Linked DNA regions of Drosophila melanogaster. The protein of the gene in region 1 interacts with the protein of each later gene in a pairwise test. Each region holds a gene or a part of one and is shown in the gene's direction. Other genes may lie near its edges. The genes, in order: Mmp2 and frac.

Evidence for each region.
Region 2: the proteins of Mmp2 (region 1) and frac interact in a two-hybrid assay, tested with the Drosophila melanogaster proteins (one study listed by BioGRID).

Annotation. Positions count from the first base shown.
Region 1 is NT_033778.4:9,680,704-9,685,566, reverse strand, and holds the start of Mmp2 (matrix metalloproteinase 2), read left to right. Parts: upstream 1-1,708; 5' UTR 1,709-2,634; coding exon 2,635-2,784; intron 2,785-4,863. UniProt on the Drosophila melanogaster protein: Has metalloproteinase activity. Proteolytically cleaves the PGRP-LC receptor; involved in gut-fat body innate immunological communication (GFIC)-mediated activation of the imd/Relish signal transduction pathway.
Region 2 is NT_037436.4:7,560,489-7,568,629, forward strand, and holds the start of frac (faulty attraction), read left to right. Parts: upstream 1-2,121; 5' UTR 2,122-2,204; exon of another isoform or gene 2,205-2,520; 5' UTR 2,521-2,590; coding exon 2,591-2,645; intron 2,646-3,679; coding exon 3,680-4,498; intron 4,499-4,560; coding exon 4,561-4,683; intron 4,684-4,751; coding exon 4,752-7,265; intron 7,266-7,333; coding exon 7,334-8,141.

The DNA of each region.
Region 1 (4,863 bases):
TGTAACAACATCGAACTGATAAGACGATTTTATATATATTGATGTCGCAACTTCGAAAATTACTCACCTTTCGATGGCCCGACCATGTATCATCAGTAATTTTGTCATTTGTACTTTATTTGGGTCAGCCGCAGATCAAAAATCGGTTTTGCATTCAATTTCGTGGCCAATTAGCACTTGAACCCAAGACCTCAGTCTAAGTTCAGAAATTGCCGGCAAGTTGTTTCGGATATCTGTGTGTACATACAGTGGTGCACGCCACTAAACGATCATGTTTCGAAATGAAATACATTTGAATGTGATAATACCAAAATATGATTTTACTATCTCTTACCCCGTGGGGGTTATATATTTATGATAAACTTGCATTTATCGCAGAACATATACATTTTCAAAACAATCATTTATAGATTTTATAGCATTTCGACTCATCAAGGGACTAGATCTACTGCGGTTCTAGATTGGCTATGATTAAGTGACAGTAAATTGAGTTTAAGTGGACATTGATATTGGATATATCAAGGCTGCTTATGCAAGAGCATTATCAATGACTATTTGGGATTTCCAAAAGATTGTGAATGGAAAAAGATAATCATCCTTTCGAATACTACGTTGAGTAACCGGCAGCGGCTAACATTCGTATTTTGATTCATTCAAAAATATAACCGGCTTGGTGAATAATACTCTGCAGTATATGATAACAAGTACCCAAGAATATATGGGCTTTTTTTTTTTTGATCTGGGTTTTTTATTTTCGAGGGTGTGGGTGTATTCATACTTATTCATAAATATTAGAAATCAAATGTAGCTAACTCATATCGATTCATTATTTTTTAGATTTTAGTTTCCTTTTTCATGGAACTACTCGATCAATCAATATTTAACGCCATCTGCCTTGTGTTTATTGTGCAATAGGCAAATGTCCCAACTTGGCGGAAACGTGTTAGACTGACACTTTTTAGGTAGCCAAAATCGAAGAGTATAAAGTAGCCAAAAAATATTAATATCGAAGAGCAGAGAGAAATATTAATATACACTTAAGAAAAGAACCTACCCAAAGTCACACAGACCAACATAATTTGAAATATTTGAAGCTATTATACTATTTAAAAAAAATTTTGTTTATTATTGTTTTACAATAAAATACCAAAAATCAAATCATAAGAGTATATGGTATAAAATTATAATGAATGTAGCAATAATTTATATACTGCTACCGATTTAAGTTTAAATTAAATTAAATTAATTAAATTACTTTTTTATGAGTCAAATATAATAACAAAGTGGAAAATACATAAATGTCTTTGACCACGGTGTTTGTACTTTCAGTTTTAATATAATTCTTTCATATGTAAAAAGGAAATTTTAAATACATTGGATTTCAGATCTCTAAATAAAAAACTATACAAATACGGATGAACAAAGTTATAGGCTCAGAATTTAAAAAGATTATTACGAAAAAAAAAATGTTTTTTGCTGCCTAATTTAAAATAATTTTTTAAAATCCTTTAGAGCCTCTTGGAATTCGTGCTTTTTCTTTCTGTGCCCCCTTAAGAGCGTGAGACAAGAGCGAGTTTCTTCTACTCTTACGTATTTTCATAAATCAACCGCGATCGCTGGCATATCCGCCCAAATGAAGAGAAGCTACTCTGTATTTTTGTGCTCTTTGTGCCCGCCTCTTCAAGTCGCTTCACGTCGAGGCAAGTCAGCAGTTCAGTCACATTTAGACATCCGCGCGGTAAACCCGCTTTCGGCGGTATAACGAGATTTTTTATTTCGAATTCGACAGAAACAAATAAATGTAAAAAGGAGAAATTGAGATTTATGCTTGCACAAAACACGCGAATAAAAGAGCACCGCCCACTTCTAGCGTTTTCTTTTGTGGGGTGAACAAAGCGACGTAACGGTTGACAGGAATCGGGTAACGCGAATCGGGAATCGGTGTTGGTATCGGGCATATACTAAAAAACGGATGAACAAGGAAAGTCTTTCCTTTGTGCAGCCACTGCGTGCTAATTAATTGTGTTTTTGTGGCCAAGTGGCATTCTATAGTGTGCATTCTATACACACCAAATTTAAATTCTATCCAGCCCAACCCAACTCAACGCCCCCAGCTCCTTGTTTTCCCACCATTCGTATGCGTCATATGTAAAAGAGCGCAAAAGGGCGGAAGGCACAGAGAGAAAGGAAAGCCAAGGAAAGAAGCAGTGGCCACAACAAAGCGGCAAGCACAAAACGCCAGAACAAGAAGCGCCAAACGGAAAAACGGGAATACCCCCGCCCAATCCCCACCGCTCCCCGCCACAACCCATCGCTCCTTCCGTTGTTTTTGTTGCTGCTGCAGCTGTATTTATGCTGCCGGGTATTCGTGTGAGTGCCGCCAATGCGCATGTGTGTCTGTGTCAACCCCCGCGGCCGAGGCGACAACAATAGCAAAAACAACAACAGCAGCGAAACTAAAACAAAAGTGAAAAGTTCAATTCCCAGCTTAGCACTACGAATTGTTAGTCCACCACATCGGTTAATTAAGCCTCGAACATAGAATAAAGATAAATACACAGTTTTGTTCCTACTGATCGAGGAATAGTTTCGTGTCCAAGTGTTTTCGTTGCGCGAGCGAAAGAGAGCGGCGAAATGTTTTCCAAATATGTTCTCGCCACCCTGCTCGCACTCTTTGCGCAATCCATGTGCATCCAGGAGCTGTCCCTCCCACCCGAAGGATCTCACTCCACCGCTGCGACCAGGTCCAAGAAGGCAAAAACCGCTATCTCCGAGGATATAATGGTAAGGCTCCAAATTTGAAAACTTCGATTTTTCCGAACCCAGCTTTTTTAAGCTCTATAAGATGATATATCGTATCGATCAAGTTAGTAAATTTGGGTGTTTATACAAAGTGCATCGACTGAAATGAAAATAATTCCCCAAAATAAAACGCAATGCAATCAATCATCCTACATATATCTGATGGTAAATGCTTAAGCACTGTTTGACCCAATTGCCATTTCAATAAAAATTCATCAATAATTGACATTTGAATCCCTAGAGCTGTTGGAAATCGCACAATGTTTGCAATAAAAATTGTAAAAGCAATTATTGAATGTGACATAAATAATTAAACAATGTAAATAGGAAGTTAAAGAGCAAGAAGGTAAATTAGAAAGGGGACAAAGGAAAACAAAATTAGCCTACAGTAGGCGCATTTTCATTCCGGCGGCTCAGATACTCAATCCGTATCTCCGCATTTGGTAGCAGACAGTAAATCGAGAGGCGGGTTAAGTACAATCGAGATAGACGGATCTGAAGGCCCCCAGCACACATATCCCCCCCTCCCCCTCACTCCACGATGCAGATGCTGCTGTGGCTGCTCGAGCCTATGACCTCAAAATCCCAAAATGCTCTACATATGCATAGACAGCACGAGACGTAGTTATATATCTAACTGTAAGTTAGGAAGGTATAATTTACTTTTAAATATTTGCATGTTGTGTGCTTAGTAGATTAATCTGTTTCCGTAAAATGTTTAAACAAAGGTCCAGTATCAACCTGTGTTAAGTAACTTCAAAAACAACTTGATTGGCATTTCTGGAAACCGTGATATAAGCGAAATGGTAAAGGATGATGACTTATAATACATGGAAAAAAAGAGATTCCAAGTTTCTCATTAACTTCTGATTTTTATTACGCGGAAGAATACACCAGTATGCAACTCACTTCACTGAACGAACGAAGTCCGCCTTACTCGTTCGAAACGCACTGTACATGTGTGTGCATACAGACGCCACGAGATGAGGGCCCCCAGTAGTCTCGGGTATGGCCACTGCAGTTCGTAGTGCACAATGCACGCTTATTGTTTGGGGGCATGCGTCCTATGGCTCTTAATGCATTTGTGGGTCTGCCTCCATCTTTACCCCCAGCCCCCTCCACCCACAACCCTTACTACATCGCCGCTGCCCATGTGGAGCCCTGGCCACTAGGACATTTCCTCGCGAATTTCTGCAGTTAATGAGAGCGGGCGCATTTTTTTTAATCAGAATAACAAAATATGAGCAATTTACCCATTATGCTCGCCTTTTGTTTTTGTTGCTCGTGTGCCAAGGAGTCGCGGTGGCATTCTTTAAGGCGCGCCAGGACATTGAACCCGCGCCACTGACTCACCAGCTCCAGACATGCGTGCCGGCCAGGATGAACTATTAATGTACAGCCAGCCATTGATGCGATTCTCCTCGTGTGGCTGGGCCAAATCTTGGCGTTTATTAAAGTTCGAAAGCCGTAATTAAAGTTCTGAAGCGTTTGCGGAAAATATAAGAACTGGAACTAAGTAGGACGCACATAAGCTCTGTACCACAGATGGTAGGCACCGAAGATTGTATGGATTTTCTCATGAATGTATAAACAACAGAGCTCTAAAATCGCATGCTGCAATAAATGTTCATGCTGAAAATATATGTCGAATATTATTTTAGAATTTCTAGTGGGATCCTTGGATTCTACTAAATTTTTAAATAATATAATATAAATATTATATTACCTATAGTTTGAATACTCCTAGAGTAATGAATAAGATTGAGAGAGTATCCCTGAAACAGTACTTGGGTCGAGGTCTTGAACGACTTGCATATTGTTTATTTAGTAAGGATACCGCTTCCCAGCTGCCCGTTGGATGAGCGAACATATGCCATATAGAGATAGGTATATGCATATGCATATATGGAGCACTATATATAGCTGCGATATGAGAGGAACTAAAAAGAAAAGAACCGAACGAGCGGACAAGTCGGCGAGTTAAGTTGAGTTGAGTTGAATCTTTACTGGGTTGAGTTCGCCTGAGTGTCGCCAGCTAGGCGATGCCATGAAGTCGGTTCA
Region 2 (8,141 bases), on another chromosome or scaffold:
TATTTAGTTCAATGTTCAGTCCCATTTAGGGCTGCCTAAATATAACATACTTAAAGGTTATATGTGTAATCGAATGTTTACCGATCCTGAGCATCACTTAATGGCTGGCATACCCTGGTAGCCTATGAGTACCCGTCACCAAAGTGAAAACACAACAAGGGAAAGTGAAGAACAAGGCTTCAGATACGAAAATCTGTGTGTGTGTGTGTGTGTGTGTGTGTGTGTGTGTGTGTGTGTGTGTGTGTGTGTGTGTGTGTGTGTGAGGGGGTAGCGTGTCGGGATACGCCCAGTTCGCCCGATAGGTGGCGTGCATTCGCTTGCTAACATTCCTGACGTGGGCTTGTGTGTTTGTCTGTTGGTCAATGAAGGCTCCACACGGTTATTATTTTTAGAAACGTTGCACGATGTCCAATTGTTGCTCTAATTTCCATATGAGTTTTTGTCCGTGCCCATGAATGAAGCGAAATATCCGCTTGGGTTGACAGTTCCAATCAGATAAGAACTATGCAATCGATTCGGCATATTCTGTCCTATGCAAATCGCTCGATTGCGCTAGATTTCACTGTGGCCCACACCACCGCACAGAGATGATCGTCGAGGGGCCCTTCGAAAAGATTGATTTTTGATTTATTTTGGCCAAACACTTTTTTGGACAATTTTTTTTTTTTTTTTTGCAGCAATCGATTGGCTCTTGTGGCGCTGAATGCCTATTTCTGCCGTTCGGCGATTTATGTCAGTCAAGCAGTGACAGCGCTTTTCATGAGCCAATAAAGTTGTCCATGTCGCTTTGTCATATTCATATATCATGGCCGTACACCCGGCGACTTATGTCACATTCACATGGCCCAAGAAACTGGAGTATCGAGCAGAGCCTGCGCATAAACGAGGCCTAAGTGCGCGATCGAGAGACGTCGTCCGTGATGGTGACGGTGACAAAACACAATTTGGCCAGGCCAAACAAACAGTCAGACAGACGGAGGGACAGATAGACAGACCTATAACATACTTGTGTACAAACAAACCAGCTAAAAAAGTCGCATATAAATCAGCACACGCAGCTGGTTCATTAGACTCTCCACTTCGGGCTCTTGGCACTGCCATTTGGCTTGACATTAATTACATAAGCTAAGCGGCGCTTAATAATGCGCTCAACAATAGAGCAAAAGTGCTCGAGACCCAGTCGACCAATCTTGTGATGTAATGGCCTCCCCCATGCGAAAGTTTCACCTCTTAACACTCCGCCAATATCTTGAGCTTAGATGGGCAATTTGTTTATTGATGGTCCTCTTTAAAAATCTATGAAATTATGTGTACTTAATACTTAAATAAATACTAATACTTAATACTTAAATAATTTCATACCTTGTATAAGCGCGTTATTTTTATAAGTTAAACAATTTGATTTACTAAAGAATATCAAAAAATATAATCATGAGTTATTTTTAATGGTACCCTAATCTCTAATACGCATCTTAACATAGCTTCCTTTCCATAAAAATGTTGAAAAGAATATTAAATGTAAATAAACGAGTAAAATTTGATTCAGAAAAGTCAAAATGAAAAAGATGGAATAGACGGTTGTTGAGTGTGGGAGCCGAAAATGCTTTATGAGTATTTGCATTTGAAACAGGTAGTTGTGGGTGTAAATCCATTATGTCCGACATATAAATACTTCGAGTATCAAACTTTATTTATATTTAAGGCGAACTACGTCCTTTTGTATTCAATTACAATTACGATTAAAAACCATTTGTGATAATCTACAGAGTAGCTGAGCGAGCAGACTATTTATTCTATATAGTACCAGCTAATATAAATTATGTTAGAGACTACCGCATTTGACAGCTGCTGAAGGATCAATGCGATCAAGTTCAATGGATGACGGAACCTCATTAATTATCACAGCCCAATGCTAATGATAATACCATGGGTAAAAATAGCTTTCCTCTACGCGTCCCCCTCTGGTGACATTTGTGCGCTCTCGCACTAATTTGCTTTATGATATCAATGAAATATCAGCATATATACACCCATAAACTTATATATATATATATATCTTTGGAGACATCGAAAAACTGTTTTCACGTTCCCTTCGAGAAAAGTCAGAATTTCTTTGGCTCCTCAGTCTTGTCTGGGCTCTCGACGGAATCGGTGCGTTTTCCAAAATAAAAATACTATTCCTGGTTTTTCCTTAAACTACAGAAGTATATATACAGACTGTTTTTATGTGTTTTAAATCAATTAAAGTAGTGAAATTCTCAGTGAACTCTAATTGCAAAAAGTGCCTTCGTTTGATGTAAATCCGACACATTTACTTCACGAATGACCTGTGAATATATGTAAAAAGTGTTGAACATGTGCTATTTATAAACCCGCCTTAATCTTAATGGCTTTGCTCCTCTATATGCCGCTACATATATAGATCTTCTCCCATAAATATGTTGGAGAACAAATAAAAAAAAGAAACGAATGTCGTGAAATCTTATTAATGTATTCTTTTTTATAAAATTTGAACCCAAGAACCCGATACAAGTGAGAGTGGAAAGGTGTGTGGCAGCTGTTCTATAAGGATCGGAAATAGGGCTGCAGAATGTGGGCGGCAAAATATGTTTTATGCGCGCTAGCATGCGTTGCATTTGCTTCAGGTGAGTGTGGGTGGAAATCGAAAATATTTCACGGATTTTGTGGAAATGGGAAATTTATTGGATAGCTTACAAGGAATTTTGGGGATTGTAAAAGATTATTATAGTTTGGATTGTGCTTCTTTAGATTATGGCAATCGGTTGGGTATTACGAAATATATCATTTAAATAGATTTAAATAGAGAATGTAAAAATGTATTCCAATTCAGACCTATTGAGTATTGTAATATTTAATTGGAAATTATAATTATTTGCCTTAAGGCCTTAAATTAAATCATTTTTTTTTTTTGATTATTTTGCTTTTTTGAAATGTATGTATATATATTGACCATTAAAATGTCCACAAAATGGTCATAAAAACCGTTTGGTTTATAGCTAATGGAGCATATATTCATAGTTTTATGACACGTTCTCCGGAAAATGTGTAACACAAAATAGTCATGGCTAACACGGGGCACTTATATATTTTAGCGAAATATTACTCACCAAATTACCGGCCGGCTTTATGAAAACTGAACATATAAAAACTGATCGTAAATCAAAACAAAGCAAGTCCCAAAATGACAAATTAAATTAAAAAACCGTGAAGACTATATGGCAAAGAAATATCTTTTGGCAACGATTCAAAAGATTGAATCACCTAGTTTTTATGGGATTCCCCTTAAAGGCAAAGATTCTAGGATAATACAATCGGGCTTTTTTTTTTAAACATATTTGGGTGATTGTGAACAGCTGTTTGTGGTATGGAGCGAACAATAAAATGTTTTATTGCCTTTAAGTTCTGGTGAGAAATCTTTTAGTGCACTAAATAATTTTGGATGCATAACACGGAAAACCGTTTATGTTTATGTTATGGGCATGTTCATTTTTTTTGATCTGCATACAACTTTATTGTTATAAAATCGCACAATCTTTTAGAACTAATGTCTCCAATCCCTGGAATTTCTATTAAATAGGCCTATAAATTTCAACAGGTTTCTTTTATGCTAATTTTCTGGTTATATCTTAAAAATTAATGTATTTCTATTTCCATTTAGCTTCTCCAAGCTCCGAGCGAAAAAGGAAAAATGTCATGAATATTCCAGAGGATCCTAAAGTTTCTGACTCCTTGGCTGCTTCTTTGGACATGAGCTGCTCGTCGGCCAAAATCCTTCCGCCGGAGATTAATCATGGTAGGGTGTCCGTTTTCGATCGCCGCCGGAGGGGAAAGAAGGTCTTCCTAGTGGCCTTTTTCGTATGCGATGATAACTACGACTTTGAAAACGGAATCTCAGAAATGTTTTGCTCGAACCAGAAATGGGTGGATGAAATACCCACCTGCATTCCCCAATTGAATTTTGAAGAACACGACGAGAAAGTAGGTTACGATTTGGAAGATTATTCCGACGAAACTGTGCCCAACGATTACGTCGAGAACAGTGATATTGATGAGGATGATGATGAAGAGGTTAGTGAAAGGGAACCACCACCGCCACCACCACCACCGGTAGTGGATGGAGCCGATTCCAAGCCTGAACCACAAATAGTTATCGAAATTAATGATGATCATGCAAATGAAGTCGTTGAATCAGAACCTGCTTTAGCGGAGACTGAAACTGAAAATGAGGTCCTTGAAAACGAAACTCCCCTGAAAGCGGAAGTCCAAACTGATGTACTCAACTCCAGCAATGCATCTGTTAAGGTCACCAATGATCCTTATGAGCCAACATTCTTGGATAACAATTGTGGCGAAGACAATGGAGGCTGTGCGCACATTTGCAAGCGATTGCTTTATCCAGATGAAAACCAGCCCATCAATAAGTGCGATTGTCGAGAGGGTTATACCCTGGATCCTAACGATTATGCTAGCTGCCTCGGTGGGTGTATTATATATAATTAAATTGAAAGAATTTGCTAGACAATATTATTCTTTTTGAAGATATCGACGAATGCCTGGAATCGAATGGTGGTTGTTCGGAAATTTGCGAAAACCTTCCAGGAGAATATAAATGTAGCTGCCAAGAGGGTTATTACTTAGACGAGTCAGGAAAGAGTTGTGTTGGTATGTTTTAATAAATGATATTTAAAAAGAAAAAAAATTCACATTAAATGGTATATACTTGTTTTCAGACATTAATGAATGTGCGAATCCCGAGCTGTCATCGAATTGCCAGGGTGCTTGCGAGAATCTGCCAGGTTCATATCGCTGTGTGGAGCCGCTGGAGGAGAATCCCGAGATCACGGAAGTCGTGGAGAATCCCATTGAGAAGACCAACGAAGTCCCAGTGAACGTTTCCGAATCACAACCCGCCGGAAAAACATGTAATTCTGGCTTTCAACTTTCCGCCGACGGCACTGATTGCCAGGACATTAATGAGTGCGAGGTAGACGGTCCTGAGGATCTTGATAATAACGCAGTCTGTCAGCAAAAGTGCGAGAACACTATTGGATCATTCCGTTGCACCTGCGTTGAAGGATACCACCTGCTCGAAGATCAACGAAGCTGTGCATTGGATAGCTGTACGGATCTGGAGAATCCCCAGTTGAATCGCACTCGATGTGCCCACGAATGCCAGGATTTGCCAGAGGGAAGCTACCGATGCGTGTGTCCCAAGGGTTATGAACTATCAGAGGATCAGCATTCCTGTTTGGTGCAAGAATCTCCATGCTCCACAGAAAAGGGAGTTGAAAAGTGCTCCCCGGGAACCTGTCTAGCCAGTGAGGATAATACCAGCTTCAGTTGCATTTGCCCAACGGGCTACCGCAGTGAGGCATTCAGTTGCCAGGACATTGATGAGTGCGCAGAGGATACACACCTTTGCAGTCACACTTGCCAGAATACACCCGGTGGTTATCAGTGCCAGTGTCCCGAAGGACTCAACCTGGTCGAGGAGTACACCTGTTTGGCCGAGAATCTCTGCGAGGTGAACAACAACGGATGCGAACAGATCTGCCTGACTGCCCGAGGAGGAGTTTGCGCCTGTCGCGAGGGATTTCGATTAAGTGCCGATGGCAAGAGTTGCGAGGACGTGGATGAGTGTCTGGTAAATAACGGTGGCTGCCAGCAGGTGTGCCGAAATCTTCCAGGTTCGTATGGGTGTATATGTGCCGCCGGCTATGAGCTCCTCAAGCTTGATGGCATACGCGGCTATTGCTTCGACATCGACGAGTGCTCGCAGAGAACTCATGGGTGCAGTGATCAAATGCTTTGCGAGAACCTCAATGGTTCGTACACCTGCCTCTGTCCACCGGGATATGCCCTTGGCTTGGATAACCACATAGTCACATCACTAAACAGCTCATTCATTACTGATTCAACCTCATCCGAAACCCCATCAGCGCATACATGCTTGGACATTGATGAGTGCTCTCTGGCCAATGGGAATTGCTCCCACTTTTGCCAGAACGAGCCTGGTGGCTTTCAGTGCGCCTGTCCCTTGGGCTATGCCCTATCCGAGGATATGCGCACCTGTCAGGACATTGATGAGTGCCTCGATAGCAATGGCCAATGCTCGCAGCTCTGCTTGAATCAACCTGGGGGATTTGCCTGCGCTTGTGAAACGGGTTTCGAGCTAACTCCAGATGGATTCGGTTGCGCCGACATTGATGAGTGCTCGCAGGACTATGGAAACTGTAGCGACATCTGCATCAATCTTTTAGGTACCCATGCCTGTGCCTGCGAAAGGGGCTATGAGCTGGCCAAGGACAAGCTAAGTTGCCTGGATGTGGATGAGTGTGCCGGCCTTCTTTCCGGTGGTTGCAGCCACGAGTGCATCAATAAGGCAGGTACCTTTGAGTGTGGATGTCCCTTGGGTTACATACTCAACGACGATGGTCGTAGCTGTAGTCCCGCTCTGGTGGGTTGTCCACCGGGAACTCAGCGATCCGCGGATGGATGTGCTCCAATTGAATGCAATCCGGGTTATACCCTGGGATCGGACGACAAGTGTGTGGACATCGATGAGTGCCAGAAGCAGAACGGTGGCTGCTCGCATCGCTGCTCCAATACCGAGGGTTCATTCAAGTGCAGCTGTCCACCGGGCTATGAACTAGATAGTGATCAAAAGACTTGCCAGGACATCGATGAGTGTGACCAAGACAAGACTAGTTGTATCACTGGAACCTGTATAAACGAGATTGGAGGCTTCCGCTGCGAGTTTCCCAAGTTCCCCGTTCTGCCGGAGATTCCCACAGCTTCGTCACTGCCTGAATCGCCCAAAATTGAATTGAAGACGCCAAAGTATCCTGATTTCACCGAGCTGTCCAATGAAATACCCGAGAATCCCAAGAAACCAGCTGAGTTCGATTACCCAGAGCCCAAGTTTCCATCTTTGCCTAAGTGGGAAGGTCTTCCAAAGCTTCCGCCCCTTGCTGACATACCTACATCGAAAGCACCCGTTCCCCTGCGTCCTGAAGTGCCTAAAAGTCTGTGGGTTAATCAGTTGCAACCCAGGGATCTGTGCCCTCGATTTCAGGCACCACGAAATGGCAAGTCCCACTGCAATAGGTATCGCCATAAGCAGAAGCTCTTCTACTACAGTCGCTGCCGAATTTCATGCAATTCGGGCTATATTCTTCAGGGTCCTGAGATCAAAAGCTGTGACGCCAATGGAATTTGGGAGGGGCCCGAAACCAAGTGTGTTGGTGAGTCATTAAGTTAAGTAATAGATTATACAGTTGGCATTCCGTACCTCTTCCGTACCTTTTCGCAGCCATCAACCAACCTCGTGCACAGAGTCCTGGAATCTGCCCCGCTCTAAAGCCCGCCCAAAATGGAGTTATACTCCCAGCTAGCTGCACTCAGGGTCCATCTCGATTTGGTGACGTTTGCCGTCTTCAGTGCAATGCTGGCTTCGTGTCCACCGGATCCTTGTTGACCGCCTGCATGATGCTGCAGGGCTGGTCGTTCGGTGCAGATCTCAACTGTCAGCCATTCGGAAACGGTTTGCTTGGAAATCAATTATCCCCGATGTGGAATTCTCCGAAAACAGTGACTCCTCATCAAATCCAGAATGTGGAACAGATTAGGCCCTATATCAATTGCCCGGAAAATGTTGTAATCCTACTGCATGCCGGTGAGCAGAAGGCTCATGTGACTCTTCAAAGACCCCAAACTAATGTTAAGAATGGCCGATTGGTCGCCCATCCCGCTTGGGCTGGTCAACTTCAGGGTCATCTGCCAGCTGGAGTCCATAAGGTTGACTTTAGAGTTAACGATCCGGAGACCAAGCTCACAATTAAATGTCACACAATAATTACTGTTAAGGCTGCAACACCTAGAGAATCAAATCCATTTACTTTGTTTCGAATATCTGATTATTCAAGATCATCACTTCCCAGACCGGCTCCATTTGCGACTTTGTCCACTGGTAGTTCATTCTCATTTCCTGCATTCAAAGCCCTGGATGCAACTCCAAAACCAGTTTCCTTTACCAAATTCCAAGTTTTCCCAGATTCTGAGTCATCAGAGCACTCGAAACTTGGGTCATCTTCCTTCTTCAGGCTGGAGCCCCTTTTCCA